3 linked regions of the Bombyx mori genome follow. The protein of the gene in region 2 purifies or fractionates together with the protein of the main gene of each other region. This does not show direct contact. Links are inferred from orthologs where the notes say so. Each region holds a gene or a part of one and is shown on either strand. Other genes may lie near its edges.

Region 1 (4,070 bases), on a different chromosome or scaffold from region 2:
TTTGCAGTTTAGACCTTGCAAAAACAATCGTGGAATTCTGGCAGATTTGACAAGAGTTTCGCGCAATATTATTTATTTTCTGTAGTAAATATTGTAGTAGAAGCACGCAGATCACACGACTACAATATTTACATACACACGAGAACTTTAACTGGGTTCCTAAACAAGTAAAAACCATCAACTTAAGTTCAACAGTATGTACTAGGATCTTCGAAAAATTCGAAGATCCTAGTACAATTTTAGAAGTATTAAGGGTCATAACAACCTTTTCATTTAAAAATATCTTCTCGAGACCATTCATTTAACCTTTGTTAACTTTTGTTAGAAAACAAAACTAAGCAGGGACTGTAATACTCTTAGCTAATCTGATAACCAATTGGATCAATCGACGAGTGGTCTACAGATAATCTGCTCATCTAGAGTAAAAATATTATTGTTCATTCACCAAAATTAAATGTTTTCATCACAATTTCAACATGAAAAGCTTTGCGGTGGGGAAGGACCTGGCTTGGTCAAGTATTTCTGTGGGATATATTCTTAGGTTAATAGTTTTATTGATTTGTCGTAGTTGCTCATGCAGAAAATTTACAAGCTTAATTACCTGAGAAATCAACATTTCAGTACCTAGGCATTGAAACCAGTACACAGATTTATTTAAAAAGCTGGAGATTCCTGCACTTTAGTCTGCATAGGTAGTCCATTAACATGATTTTTATTGTTGTTAATTGATAGAAAACATGGTCTATTTAACAATTAAAATAGTATATTCAATATTTTTATTGGCATACATACAAATGTTACGTTTCTGCCCTAATTAATTCATTTCTATTTATGTTTAATCTACTTGTGTTCCAGAGTCCAGAGTAGCATAAATCTGAATTCACTAAATCCCCTCTGAGTGAATTTGAACGCATCAATACTCAAAAAAGTAACGCCACCTAGCGTCACAGTAGAGTGAAAATGAACACGGTTTTAAGAGTTGCCAGTGCGGATACTTTTCGTCTGATTTAAGGTAATGTGGGACTTTTATGGACAACGATGACGATCGGAAGGTTTTGCGATTGCTATTTATATCTATCATATCCTTGTTTAAAAAAAATCATTAACTATATTAGTGATTGATTGATATTACTTGGTTACTAGGCAGTTTAATGCAAAAGCAATCTTTGGAGAACACCAAACTGAACGCAACCAGTCTTGCTGATTTACAAGGAAATTGAAGTCTATCAAATTGTTTTTTTCAAATAAATTCAAACATCGTTAAAGAAGGCTGACATGTAATATTATGGGTATATGAAAATAAAGTTTTATGGCATAATAATAAAAAATCCTATAAAATCAATAAGGGTTTGGGATTTGTCTAATTTATTTACCGGCAGCACTGCTTCAGTTTTGTTCTCTCTTTTCACTGTTGTTTCTTTTTATTTGAAGTGAGGATGAAATGGTCCAAAATAACAAGGCCTACATGTGTACGTATTGCCGAATTGAATAAAATTTGATGAATCGTGATTGTAAATCGTGGTATAATAAAACAAGCTCAATCGTATCGCATCAAGTACATAAAAAAGTGTAATGTGGTCGATGACAGCGTGAAAACGGGTGCTACGTAAGTATAATCCGATCAATTTACATACCCATTTTAAAACATATCAAAACTAAAAAAATTCGGACGCTTTACGGTAGCGTTATTTCATATCTGTCATGTCACGCTGTGACTGTCAGTGAATTGTCAGGTAGGTAGTCCAAATTACAGAATACAGATGTAGGTAGGTACTTACCTACCTACCTGAAATTGTCAGGCAGAAACCAGTCGCAATATAATGATTAAACGTGTTTGAAATAGCTCATTTAGTGCTTTTAATGTAAAATATAGTGCCATTAGGTTTAACGGGAAGACTAAGCAGGTATGTTGTAATTCAAAAGCTTGAGAGATTATTAAAAAAACACGTTCTCGGTTGCCCTTGTTTGTGTTGCAAAATCTCGATTCCTTTGTCAGATCCAACAACACTTTTACTTTTCGTATCGTTTTTAGCCTTTAATTGCATTTACTTATTATTAAATTCATAAACTCCATGTTAATCTCGCACATCGTTATGCGCAGTTAAGGAAAACGGTAATTTGTTTTTTTTTTTTGTTTATGCTAATAAGACACAGTTTTCTAGTTGAACAAACAGTTATCGTTCAATGAGCACAATACACAACAAAACGTATGTCTGTTATGTCTTCCTATGCTTATCTACACTTTTTCTTTTAAATCTGTTACCACCTGCTTTTTGTTAGTGGCAATATCGAGAAAATAACTAGGTCTTGTTATAAGATTTACATAAATACTTTGTAAAATATATTACATACGAAATTAGAGGTACCAATAAATACTATGTATGTAATATGTGTTACATATGAAATTATAGGGATTCAGTGATGTAAGTTAATAATGGTTGTGCTCAAAGTAAAAAAATATAAGTAGAGTTCTGATTTTGCACAATAAATACAGGAAATGGAGTGCAAAGTGGCTATTTCCAAGGCTAAATGCCCTAAATGTATCAAATCTCTTGCCTTAAATGTAAGTTACCAACTATATTGATTGACTAAATCAAGCTAAGCAAATTCATCTCTTTGTAAGAATATACTTCATGAACTTGTGAGGACATCCCAAGTAGTAATTTGGGAGTTTCTACAGTTGTTCCTAAAGATCATTATTACTTCAGAGCTATGGCATATATTTTTCAAAAGTAATTTAAAGGCAATTCACAATGCTTGTGGCATTGTTGTTCTCTAGGCAATGATAAGGATAAAGATTAATAATAATGATGTTTAAAAAAAATACAATACAAAGAAAAGTTTTTAGGCAGTCTCAAGTAAACGAATATTACAATTCAGTTGGTGCTGTATTTACATGTCGAAATTCATATGAGTATTAGGAAATTGAAATGATAAGTTCTTTTCACGAAAATAATTGCACAACACAAAAAACAATGAACGAAATAATGTACACGTGCATGTAATGTGCTCTGTTTGCTATTCTCTTCAAAATAATAATTGCACAGGAATAAAATAAAATAAATGTATATAAAGACAAATTTACTGAGTCTGCCTTGCGGATGAACTCTCAACTATGTCTATTTGAAACTGGGTATCGTGATATTGAACCCGTACGGTAGGCAGCGGCTTGGCTCTGCCCCTGGCATTGCTGAAGTCCATGGGCGACGGTAACCACTCACCATTAGGAGACCGTATGCCTACAAGGGCAATAAAAAAAACATACACAATTGCATAAATTAAGTTGACATTGTATTGTTCTTAACTTTCTTTTGTTCATCAATTTCAAATCTTATTGTTTTTTTATCAAAATTGCTTAGGAATAGTGATGGTTAGTAAACTAGTTAGTGTCTAAGCATCTGGACATAAGACTGAGCGATGCACTTCACTGTGTGACTGACAGATTTTGATGCTCAGTATTGAGTGAACTATTGAAAGGGAGAAATTTAGTGACGGTTGTATTGCATACTTGTTCATCTAAGCTAATTGACTACCTGAGAAAAAATGTTTTGTAGTGTGAGGCAGGTTTTTTGCTTAGTATAGCTATTGCGAATCTTAGCTTATCTTGGTTGTGTAGTTCATATTAATCAAGTTGTAACCATAGTACTTCTATTCTATGATAGCTACTGCTACATGTATATACTGCTTCATTTTATTACATTTGCCTCAAATGCTGAGGTCTCAGAAATGTGTAAACATATACATATCGACGTTTGAAAATGCGTGAATTTTACAGTAGACTAATTTAAAGTTGAAATACCTGAAAACAAAATTTATTTTAACGAATCTAGCTGTAGTAGAATCTAGCTAGTAGCTGTAGGATTGAAATAATTTTAATAGACCTAGAAATATTTTTTTTTTTCACATCGAATATGGTTATTGCTTATCATTTATGTACAAAGTAGTTATTGTCGGTTAGTCATGTTTGCCTTTCAAGTGTCGATATTATTCACTAGCGCCTAAAAATCATATTTGAAGACTTAATGAAGATGTTTGGCTTCTGCAAGTGCACCATAATGTACAGGCAGTAT
Region 2 (8,675 bases):
TACACAATTTACATCAAGGTGTCAAGGAACCAAGTTGTGGTGAACTGTATTGCAAAATGAAAAGTAGAAAACTCACGTTTCATATGAAACACATAATTTATTTACAGTGACCGGGGAACTTCTGGAATGTTCTAAACACCGGAAACTGAGCCGCGAATAATTTGAACGTCAGATCAATGCGTAGTATATTCGCTTCTGAATCATGTCTTCGATACATGAAAACCTTGGAAAATACTATATCTTCGTTCTTGTTTTGATAACAACTATTCCAAAGCCTCCGTTTTTATAGTCGACTATTATCTTGGTATGCAATAAAGGATTTAACTATACGCTAATATAGATAGGATGTTATGTACGCAGTCCACTATTGTAGATATTTTATCGTAGATTCGTACAAGGGAATATCATGAAAGTTACATGTAAGTACAATTTTCTAATTAATTCAATTCTTAAAACCTGTTTTTGCGTGTAATTTCAATAAAATATGTAAGCAAACCGCAATCTAAACACGAGGGCATTCCTCGTGTACATTTTTCGAAGCGTTTTATACGCTAATTTGGGAATTCCATTACCTTATGCCATTTACCTACTTCATTTTCGTGACTCGAATCATAAATAAACTTGAGGTTTAATAAAAAAAAAACAGTATTCACAACCTCTCGCACTTCGATCATCAGCGGAACCTGTTTTTTTTGGAAATTCTCTAAATCCGGTCGGTCGTCGAATATTTCTTTAACCAAACATAGCAGCACGCAAGGGTTTAATTTGGTATGATTTGAATTCTCCTATATATACATATGCGCGTCTGTTAAGTGAGATTCAGTACAGCGTTTTAAAATTAGAAAGCGTGGGTGGCGAGGCGGCGACGTAACGCTATTATTACGACGACGCTTGGGATTTCCGCGAGTATGTAACGCGGCAGCACGGCCCCTGGACACACTTTCACGCGGGTATAACCCATCAGCACATCGACTCATTGTTCAGCTCGAATAATGGGAAATTACGGTGCCTGCAGCCGTACCTCTGCGGTTTTCCTTAGACCGATCAACCCAGCGAATACATTTAACGGAATGGACTTGTGTTTACCTTCAACAAGTTCACTTTGTAAGCTACTTAGTGAAAGCAAGCGACTTCAGGCGCGATTTGACGGCGATAGAAGCAAGGGAATTGCTGCGTTTACACAAAACGCAGATATGAAAAGTAAACATTATGTATTTATTGTTGTTTAGAAAAACCCAGTTTACTATGCCGGCTGCTTAACAAATTCATAATTAGCTATGTGCAGCGCAGTGGACAGTGGGGCATCCCGACTAAAGAGTCGTGCGAACGTTTGGAGCGGTAGATTCGGTTCAATGTAAGCATAATGCTTTCACTCAAGTTTGAGAACGGTCGTTGGGAATACCCAGTCCGCGGTCACACCGCCTCGCACGTAGGCGGCCTCTGTCGAACGGCTCGCAGTATAGATGTATAATTATTAAGTCCGAAAATTATGTTATAATACGTGTTTGACTGTCTCGGCAAGGTCAAGCGTCGGGTAAAACCGTATGCAGATCGACGACCAGAAGTCGTGCGAAATTCTTTTACACAAAACTTGAAGCCGACCAGAGATGATCAGGGAAAACCGCTAATTAAAAAAACTCGAAATATCATGTTTTGATGCAGCTCTACACGGGTCGTTCCGTGTTCACGATTTAAAATGAGGACGAGTCCACGAGACATTCTAAAATTTTGAATGGATGCTCATGAATTGCGTTTCGCTGTATTCCAAACCGAATTTACGATAGATTTTTAATGACTTCGATCGTAATGGAGACCTTGAATGACGTCACAAGTAGACACGGTTCGCACTTCGGACGTAAACAACGCCGTATGTCTGTGTCGTGCCACAAACTGGCTCCAGATACGAGCTGCTAGTGTTCAATTCAACAATGTATGCTAGTAGACTACGTAGCTTCTAATGCAATGAACACGTGACGTCATTAGGGTGTAAGTTCACGCCTGGATGGACCGCGACGCCGGCGCCGGCAATAAATACTACTTCCCTGAATTATCCGAGGTCAAACATTTAACCTACCACAGGATAAGTACAGTACTATGCGTAGTTCAAATTCGGACGTGCTAATCTCGGCATTACATTTTATCGTTCATACTGCGTCTTAATTCAACGACCGATAACAGACCACGATATTAGTGAAATTACGCAATTTTAACTTAATAAATTTTAATAATAAAAATGCGGTAGTTGCCGACGGTCAAGTCTTTAAGAACGCTTAAAGCGAATCGTAAGTGGAAATTCCGAGTTTGTATGGGTTTTTACATCTGATTCAGTGAGACAATAATTTATCTCGCTGCAAACTTGCTAGGTTTATAGTTAATATTAATTTAGCTAGAATCTGAATAAAAGCACGAGGTATATAAATTGATCAACACTCATTACACTAATCTGTTACTGAATTTGTTATCAGTCGAGTCGCTCACAAATGGCTACAAGGAAATATTTGAATGATTTCTTTTAAATAAACAACTTACCGTTGTAGTTCTTCTGCTCCAGTACTGTTAATACTTTACTGCTCTGATGCTCAGGAACTTTGGCAAGTAGTGCTTTTAAGCATTCTATATGGCGGGCGGCAGTCGCTTTGTGTAGCGGAGTCTCTCCGAGGCAGTCTCTCGCTCCGATGTCAGCTCCGGCGATGACCAACATCCTAGTGATGATGGCATTACCACTCATCACCGCTAGATGCAGTGGCGTATGGCCATAATCGTTGGGCACGTCCAGCCACGACTTCTCAGGGCACACCCTGATGAGGGTACCCACTGACTTTTCACAGCCGTGTACGGAGGCGATGTGTAGTTGTCTGTAATGGAAAATAACAACTCTTCACATTCAACATATCAACTGCACAGACTCCTTATAATGTAATAAGTAGTTCACTGATATGTAATAGCCATAATAGGCACTGGTAACACTTTATAGTGACTGTTTTCATTTTAGACATTGAGTAATCTATTTATGGGAATATCTGTACTGAAAAAATGAGTTCATAGACAGGAAGTACTTCTTAAATTTAAATACTTTATATTTTATTTTTCAGACCTTCTACTAATAAACATATTTTTTTATATTTCATATGTATGATTAATCATTTATTATACAACTGGTGTTATATCGATGTTGTACTTGCATAGATTGTATGTATGTATGCTAAATAAATAAACCTTAATTTATAAATTTATCATAGACATTTATTAATAGGTATTATAAAATATACTATTTAAATAAAACGAAACAATTTACAATTATTGAGGAAGTAAACTTGTTTTTATAAATGTTAACTTGTTTTGTAATTAGTTTGAATTGTGAAAACGAGTACCAGATGATGATATTGTCGATTGGTTGATTCTATCATTGGTATGTGCATGAACCAGTCCATTCTATCTGAATACAATGCAGGAACCACCTGATATAAACAAACACATTAGATGTACCCATGTAATCCTCAGAATTTATATGAGTGATGGTGTTGTGAGTGAGGTCATTTGAGGACATCACTAGTTGCATCTAGTGATGTAATCATATCACTATCTAATCTATTCAATAGCTTGTTCTTTTATTATACATAGCTACATAGGTTATTGATCTGAGTGAGGAAGTTAAATAAATAATTTTAGGGATATCAAATAAATAAAAACAGTGTAAAATGTTATGTATTGATAATTAAAACAACATGAGCTAGAATTGTCAACACATCTGGGAACAGTTTAACAAATAATATTTTGGTAGTTTTAGATAGTTTAGAAAAACAAATAATTATCAGTTCTAATTCAAATATTTAAAAATAGTCCCTAGTTATTTATATTCAAAGAAGGCTGAAACAGTTACATTTGCACTCATAAGTATATTATTATATACTTGATCATGATTACTAATTGTATTATCAATCCAATCAATATGTTTTTCAAGCAATTAAATTTGCTCACTTTGATCGTCTTTATTCAAAAAAACAAATCCGCGCAAAGGAAGTTGTAAAATGTATAAATGATTTCCTTGTTAATTTAAATATTGGAAGAATATCAAGTCTTTTTCACTGCTATATTTACTAAAACATAGTAGTGAATATTTAGTTTATGTATATTTAGTCTATAGTTTCACTGAAAACAAAGATATCAAAGCATATGGCCCACCTGATGGTGAGTGGTTACCATTGCTAATTCACATCAGTAATGCCAGGGGCAGAGCCAAATTGCTTCCTGCCCCTGAGTATTTTCTATAAATCTTGTCAACCAACCTTCCAACATTATAAGGCATTTGAGAAACATCAAAGAGAGGAGTTAATTACAAAGCCAGATGGTACATGCCAGAAAATATCTCCGGAAATGCACTGTGGATAAACACAGTGGTTCTACACAGAGTGGACAAAGGCTACTGCAATGGCGGGCAGTGCATGCAATTTATTCATTACAGAATTTACAACATATCATGTGCATATTACCGTATTAGGCTACAACGCTTTAAGTTCATTTTTGTTACTGTACTGATAAACATTTTTTTAAATGAAGTTTATGTTATTGTACCCTGTTAAAATATAATTGAACTAGCAACTTTATATCAATATATTTTAATATGCTTTATAAAATGCTAAACTACGAGAATTAACGCTTTAGCAAAAAGTTTAAAGCTTAATAAAGAAACATGATAAAAATTGGTTTTATTTAACTGCATGTTAATTCAAAATAGATTTATTAAAATAGACGAATGAAAGGATATAGTAAGCACCTTAAACGTAAAGTTGCTATTTCTCTCATTTATTTCACTGAACACAGGGAATTTCTTTTGTTATAGTTCAAGTTTCATCATGGTTTTAATAAGAATACATATTGTAGTTTAGGTCTGTTGACTTATTACAAACTGTATTGGCTGGGTAAGATTGTCATATTAATTTTCTTGGTGAGCTGAGGTTCTTGCACAAGTATAATTTGATAAAATTTCCACATTAACAATGTTTTTTTTTTAAATATGCCCTTCGTAGGTAATTAATTGACTTTAACAACAACAAAAAAGTAATTTGATAAATCTCAAAATATATTTAAAAATCTATCATTAAACTAAAAGGTAAGCAAGGAGTGTTTCTCGAAAAAGTATTTAATAATAGTAGTAGTGTCAAATCAAGTTAACAATGTTGTTTAAAATTATAGGGAAAAATTTCATGCACAGACCCCAAAAAGCCAAAATGAAGAATTTTTGTTGTTGTTGTAAGAGTGCGTGGAGTATAATGATTTATACATACGTGTCTCCGTCCTCGTCCTGTTGGAACAGTAGATACAGCGGAGGAATGTCTGCGGTACTCTGTGCAGGACTCTGAACACTAACCATTACTTGTGACAGCCTATCCGTAATGGATTTCACTCCACTTTCACCTTCACTATTCTTTTCATCATAATCGATCATCCCTGAATCGATATCATTACTATCACACGGTCCTGATATTTCACCAGTAACAAAACCGGAATCAGCGTACTCGTCCTCGCGCAATTTCGTTTCGGAATCTTTTTTGGCACTCATTTTTGGTTCAATTCTATACGACCGTTTTCAATTTTAACAATAATCTTATCGTTTCACTATTGTTTATATTACAATTGTTTATGAACACGGAACCATGTTTTGACACAAAAATGTCGCGTAATAAACAGCCTCACTACAACGAATGCGCGTGCACAATGCGTGATTAAGATTCAATGCTGGAGTATTTGTGACTACATAAGGCTGCCATTTTTTGTTTTTATTAGCATTCGTCATTACGTCACTTTCTAGAGACATGTTCGGAAACACTGTGTCATGTAAATTGTCTACAATCTACATCACTGCGTGATGATTTAATCTAAAATATTTTGTTTGAGTTGATAGATATCCTTAGCAAAAACAAAGTAAACATAGACATAGACAGTGACAATAGGTGTCTTGACTAGTAAAAAAATATCTGTTGGTTCGTGAAGTAAAACAATATAACAAAACTGTGATTTCGATAAAAATAAACTAAAACATCCACGTTTTTTTTTTTTTTTTTTATTGCTTAGATGGATGGACGAGCTCACAGCCCACCTGATGGTGAGTGGTTACCGTCACCCATGGACTTCAGCAATGCCAGGGGCAGAGCCAAGCCGCTGCCTACCGCTTAATACTCTCCACAAGCCTAGTTTGAAGAAGGACATCTCATAGCGCTCGGGAAACACCGTGAAGGGAAGCTCATTCCATAGGCGGATGGTACGTGGCAAAAAAGACCTCTGGAAACGCACTGTGGATGACTGCAGTGGCTCCAGGTAGTATGTATGAACTCTACTCCGGTGGCGGGTGGTGCGATGGTAAAAACGAGATGCCGGTATCATCTCGAACAATTCCTCAGAGCACTCCCCATGGAACATACGGTACAAAATACAGAGGGAACCGAAGTCCCTCCGTAGACCCAGATGCTCCGAAAAATTCTCTGAGAGTCTACCTTAGGGGGGTGCAGAGATGAACCTTGATAGGTGTAGTGTGATAGTGATATTACTTAAACATATGTGTATATATAACATACATAATATTTATAGATACAAAAACTCGTACTTAAATAAATACATTTACATAAATATATATGTATAAAATATATATAAATAAATATTATCAATTAGATGACTCTGATAACTCTCTAGAAACAGTTCTCGAACCCTCATCTTAAACGCTTCACGTGTAGTGGCCGACCTTAGAGAACCGAGTCAGAACTATATGGAGGACAGCGAAGAAGAACATTGTGAGATGAACGAAGATTTCGGCTGTGGTCAGACCCTAAGTATTGAAAGGAAGTAGTTAAATAAGCAGGTGGATTTGGGGAATGCAACAAAGAGTAAAGAGTACCGAGAGCACGCAAGCTACGGCGTTGTCGAATGGGGAGCCATTTAAGTTGGGAGCGATGAGAAGATACGTGATCGTATTTCCGAAGATCATAAATAAATCGAATGCAGTTATTGAGAAGCCGGTTAAGTTTATTGAGTAGATATTATGCATTCAGGTCAAAGTAGCACACATCACCATAGTCGATCAAGGGGAAAACCAAAGTTTGAACGAGTATTGTCTTGGTCTCGGGCGGAAGGAAATACTTCAGGTGGTAAAGCATACGGAGTCTTTACGACGTTATCACGTAAAACTCTCGTCCATAAGTAAACTTTATAGACAGCTGTGGACCCAATAGAAAGAACTTAAAATTTCCATTTGGTGTTTATTCTTTCATTTTACAATTATCGACTCTTCGGATCAACAAAACTAGAAGTTGTAATTGTTTGGTATTGTGGCCACAAAAAGCAGACGAACATACGTTACTCATTGAACAATTCCATTGCGTATTATGTGGGAGGGGGAGGGGGGGGGGGGGTTAGGGCGGGGGATATTATCTTGTTGAACACCCAGTAAAACGAAGTCACTTTTTGATTCCTGATTTAATCAACAATATGATAACTTAATTCACTTTAACATTTATCCAACCTTAACCAGTACGTAAAACAGTCACTTAATCACACAATGTAACAAGGATATAGTAAGTGCACCGAGCAAACGCAGTCGGCCGGGGCACCTGGCTTATCTATGAGTCACTCCTGTTGCACGTGCTGTTTTACGAGTGGAGTGACACGGCCGGCGCACCTGGCTTGTGTATGACTCACTCCTATTGCACGTGCTGTATAACAGAAGTAACGTTAACGCCGTCATAGATATGTTACTGCTTATTATTTCTGTGTGTTAACACAACGTAACGACATTGGGAATGTCGTTGGTGTAGAGAGCGTAGAGGATCGGTGACAGGATACCTCCTTGGGGAACCCCAGCTGTGGCTGGGCGCATCCACGATTTAGCGCTCTTGACCGCGACAAAAAGAGTTCTGCCCTCCAGGTACGACCCCAGTAGTCGCACGTAGGCGTGCTGGAAGTCCGTGTTCTGCACCAACTTGCAGATAAGCCCCGCACGCCAGACACGGTTGAAGGCCTTCTCGAAATCGAGAAATACTGCCGCCATGTACTGGCGTGCGTTGGACCGTCAAAAGGTGCATAACGCAGACCAATTGCAGCGTTGTTGAGTGACTGCTACGTATCCAGAATTGCTCGGGTCTGAGAAGGATGTGCGGAGACACTCTTCTCACCAGCAGCCGCTCGAACAACTTGCCCACATACGACAACAGGGTAATCGGACGATAATTGGAGGGCTGTCTTCTGTCCTTCTAAATTCCCGGGAAATATCCTGTAGACAGAATGTAATTAAACAGCCGTGTCTTAAAAGACACGACTGATTCTAGAAAGTGGAAAAATGCAAGGGTGAGAATACCGTCCTCACACAATGCCTTGCGCCTCTTTATCCGCTTGATAAGGAGGCGCAATTCAGCGGGAATGATGAAATCATCATGTCCCAGAGGTGGCACCGGGAGGTTAGTTTGCACGTCGAACACTTTGTTGAGTTCGACGAGTACGGTTATCAGGGTCCCTAAGTCTGCTCCTAATGTTAAAGTTGAAAGCGTCTTTGCAAGAGTAATTGGATCTGATGGTCGACCCGATAAGGAGAGTGAGATTATTATTGGCTGTATTGCTACTAAGTGATTATCTGTAAAAAGTTACTTGTATGACTTAGCTCCCACTTCTAGAAAATTTTAATATCTTAA
Region 3 (4,029 bases), on a different chromosome or scaffold from region 2:
TAAAATAGCTATTTTTATGATGGTGGTACGTTTAATAATCAGAATAGTGTTTTCTTGAGTGTTTGAGAGCTGTGGACATTAAAATTGTTTGGTTTGCACCGTAACAGAGCCAATATATAAAAGACCCTTCAATAAACAAGCCAGAATACTCTTCCACTGCAAATTAGATCAAAAGCCACTGAGAGTGCTTGCAATCCCTGATTGCGTGGATTATTAATTTAAGACTAAACTAGGATAGATTTTTGAGATTCGAAGATGTATTTATTACAAAACTCTATGGCTGAGTTCAAAGATAAAACCCTTGACTATTACTATTCAAGTGCATTAGACTTTTTAGGATGCTTTGAAAGGAGTTTCTTAAAATGTCCCTTTATAGTGAAATCTAGTGGTGAAGTTAGTGTGAAGAAATATTTCATTATGATGAAGTAATTTTGTAAATGAATATTTAAACAGGAATAAAACAGTAATTGAGTCGTCTATTATCAAAGCCGGCAATCTGACTTTTGAACAATATTGGTAAATCAGAAAAACGAATTATTGACTTTGTATTCCATTGGCAGTCACAAAACTCTTCGGAACGACATCTTAGATAAATAACAGGTTAACTATTAACCTTTATTTAATGCAGGTTTTGAACCGTATTCTTTGAAGGAGACGATTATATTCAAATCAATCTGTATTGACATATCAAAATATTTTTTTGTCCAAATGCACAGATTGCCACCTTTGATAATAGACGACTCAATTATACTATTTTAATTTAGCCTAGTTGAGTCTAGCCTACGTTAATTACGAAGGTAGTTAAATTCAACAAATACCATAGTGATACCTACGGTAACAAATACCATAATAACATACATTGGTGACTTTGGTGAAGTTTATAATACTATCTCAGACACACACCTTATACTTTTATTTTCAACCCTTTTGGTTTTATACCAGGCTTCACTCTATTTATTTGTAGCAGTTTATACAAATGGTAGATTAGGTTAATCTTACAGGGTATAATTGAAAATTTATCAAAATTTTAATTTATTAACAGTAAGCTGTTTCTCACCTTGATTCCTAGTACTCCTTGCCTGAGAAGCACATGTCTGGTAGCAGTGTTGACGTAGTCATTGCAAGGGTCTCCAGAGTGGATCATGAGTCCATCTACAAACTTCATTGATTTGGCACGTTGACCACGCAGCTTGCCAGATACAACAACTTCACAACCACGGGCGCCAGATTCCATGATGAAACGGAGAACACCATAGCAAGCACGACGTACAGCGAGACCTGAGATTACAGTAGATATTACAATTTTTATAAAGATAAATACAGCATCGAAATAAACGATAAATACATGAATGATAAATACAAATTATTGAAACTATTCTTGAAAACATACATAAGGAGTAAAGAGTAATCTTTCTAAAAACTAAAGAATTTGAGATTAATTTACATTATTGTACGTTAGGATCCGGTGCTTCTAAGCAGTTTTTGCATGCAATGTGACTTGAAGGTGTTTTAGTTTGAATATTCTTCAGACAGGTAGCAATTTTTAAATGCCATATGTGTGTAACAACACATTGCCAATCGACTTCCACAAACTTTGTGGCTAATTTATTACAATTCTATAATTATGAGATTTTTTAATAAAATTAATATACACAATAGCCATTAGTAGTGTGTCTTGTGCAGAGGCTGGGTATAGACTTTTTGATTACACATCATAACAATTTACATTTAAAATTAATGAATAGGAAAGTTTTTTTTTGTGAATCATGTATGTCATGAGCATAGTTATAGGATTATTTATGCACAATTAGATGAATGAATTGTTTCAAATGATTCTAAAATGAGTATGCATTTTATACAATTATTTTCAGATTTAAATGTTACCAGCATAACATGCAAGCATATAGCAATAGGCTGATGCAATTATGATATGAGGATGTTAATATAGCCTCAACGAAAAACACATCAACTTATTCTGAATTGAAGTGTCAGGTGTGGGGCATACATACACATAGATATTTAATGTTTGGTTTAGTATCTGTAAATAAGCCACACATGTTATTTTTATTAATTGGTGTGTTAAAGAATTTTTCTGTGCTTTTCATGCAAGTTTAACCATGTAGACATACTAACCTCCGATAAGCTTGTATCTTAGAGATTCGGCCTGGGCGATAGCGCAAAGACCACGAGTAGCCACCTTTTCAGCATACAATTCTACAGATTGCTCTGGAATGTTGAATCGCTTCTGTACTACGGAAGTCAGCTCACGGATTCTGCGTCCTTTCTCTCCGAGCACACTTTGTGTCCTGGTGGCCATAATAATGATCTCCGAGCGGATGGGAGTGACCCGGACTTCCACGCCGGAGTAGCCGTCCTCGGCCAGCTCCCTAGTGAGGAACTCATTGAGTTCCGCCTTGAAAACTCCATCTCCAACAAACTGAAAAAACATCAAGAGGTTATGTTTTTAGCACGTCGCTCCTGCTTTTGAATATTATCTTCGTTCATTGTATGAAATCGAGATATTTGTTTGTGATGTAGAAGGCTCCAAAATCACTGAAGAAAACTATGTTAGTGTAAAAAATGATGAAAACTATTTCACCGCTGATCACAACTGAAAATATCCACTAACATCACAAATTACACTTGCTAAATAAACGAATTTTCTGAACTGGTAAATCAGTTGAGTATTTAAAAATAAATTTAACTAAATATTTTGCAGCGTATAACACTAAATAAAACGTACTTTTCGCTTCTTTGAAATATTGTTCACGGCCATGATTGCAACGGGAGCCGAGAAAAAGAGGGACGGCGATGGCTGATGACAACAAGAACGTCAATGTCAAGTAATGTCAACTGTCAACTGTAATCGTTTTTAAGTCTACACTCAATTTGTTATAAAACATGCAAAATGAAATAACAATGTGGGTTTAGTCGATTTATTGGTTGATTTTCAAACTAGGTTAACTTTAGTTTCACTAGATAGGCGATTTGTTATACAATAGCGCAGCAAATACTCTTCACATGTTTTTTAAACAGGATTGAAGTTGCAATGTTTTTTTTATTATTTTTTTATTCCTTAGTTGGGTGAACGAGCTTAAAGCCCACCTGGTGGTAAGTGGTTACTGGAGGCCATAGACATGTACAACGTAAGTGTGCCACCCACCTTGAGATATAAGTTCTCAGTATAGTTACAACTTACAACTGGGTGAAATTGCTTGGTTTTCCAACTGTCCTAATGTTGTTGTTTGGTGCTTGTTTAATTTAAATGCAAGCATGTATTCAAAATGTCAATAGCGAAATTCAGATATCTATCAAATATTTTGTGTTCTATGATGGCTACTGCCACATTTCCATATTTATTGATAGAAGAAACAACGATGATATACAAGTAAGTATTTGTTTTATTTGAGTTGTGATATATAGATATTTTAAACTTTTGGTATTGGAAAATTATAATATAATATAATATTGAATAAGTATCATTAGAACAAAAAACGGATGAAGTAAAAGGAAAAACAAAAAAAGAAACCGTAAAAGTCCGTTCCTACAGCATCTAAGGCACTTTGCAATGGTTAAATGGATATTTTAATATATATAATAATATATAGCCCAAGGAGGATTGACGCCAGGCTGGCAGCCGGTTGGAAAATTCATGCTAAATCTTTTTTTAGGACTGCAGGATTACTTGTGGCTCCGAGACCTTTCAAGTTTCACGGAGGCGCGGGATTTGCTAACAGCTGCCCGATGGATCCGTAAGGACGTGTGGAGTCGACTGTGACAACAACAAGTATATACAAGTATAAACTAACAGCTGTCGTTGGTTAAATTTATATTTTGTGAATAATTAATGTTAACTAAAGGCAGCACCCGAAAATTCAAATTAAATGTGAATCTGTAATAAAACTATCAAATAAATTACGTCGGACGATCCGACTGACATACGGCACCATCCGGTACCCGGGCCGGCCGGTTTAAAATATGTTTCCAAAGCTTCTACCGGGGTTCTACGCCAGGCCCCATAACAAGTAA

The links.
Region 1: the proteins of cact (region 2) and cullin-1 purify together in Homo sapiens (affinity purification with western blotting; 8 studies listed by BioGRID and IntAct, with this or other methods). This does not show direct contact. The link is inferred for Bombyx mori from reciprocal best matches to the Homo sapiens genes NFKBIA and CUL1.
Region 3: the proteins of cact (region 2) and RpS3 purify together in Homo sapiens (affinity purification with western blotting; 4 studies listed by BioGRID and IntAct, with this or other methods). This does not show direct contact. The link is inferred for Bombyx mori from reciprocal best matches to the Homo sapiens genes NFKBIA and RPS3.

What each region holds. Positions count from the first base shown.
Region 1 is NC_085108.1:4,460,578-4,464,647, reverse strand, and holds the start of cullin-1, read left to right. Parts: upstream 1-1,270; 5' UTR 1,271-1,606; intron 1,607-1,697; exon of another isoform or gene 1,698-1,904; intron 1,905-4,070. UniProt on the Homo sapiens protein: Core component of multiple cullin-RING-based SCF (SKP1-CUL1-F-box protein) E3 ubiquitin-protein ligase complexes, which mediate the ubiquitination of proteins involved in cell cycle progression, signal transduction and transcription.
Region 2 is NC_085118.1:17,163,595-17,172,269, reverse strand, and holds the start of cact (cactus), read right to left. Parts: upstream 5,713-8,675; 5' UTR 5,561-5,712; coding exon 5,286-5,560; intron 2,856-5,285; coding exon 2,530-2,855; intron 1-2,529. UniProt on the Homo sapiens protein: Inhibits the activity of dimeric NF-kappa-B/REL complexes by trapping REL (RELA/p65 and NFKB1/p50) dimers in the cytoplasm by masking their nuclear localization signals.
Region 3 is NC_085120.1:12,499,979-12,504,007, forward strand, and holds the start of RpS3 (ribosomal protein S3), read right to left. Parts: upstream 2,801-4,029; 5' UTR 2,777-2,800; coding exon 2,744-2,776; intron 2,438-2,743; coding exon 2,134-2,437; intron 1,279-2,133; coding exon 1,058-1,278; intron 1-1,057. UniProt on the Homo sapiens protein: Component of the small ribosomal subunit. The ribosome is a large ribonucleoprotein complex responsible for the synthesis of proteins in the cell. Has endonuclease activity and plays a role in repair of damaged DNA.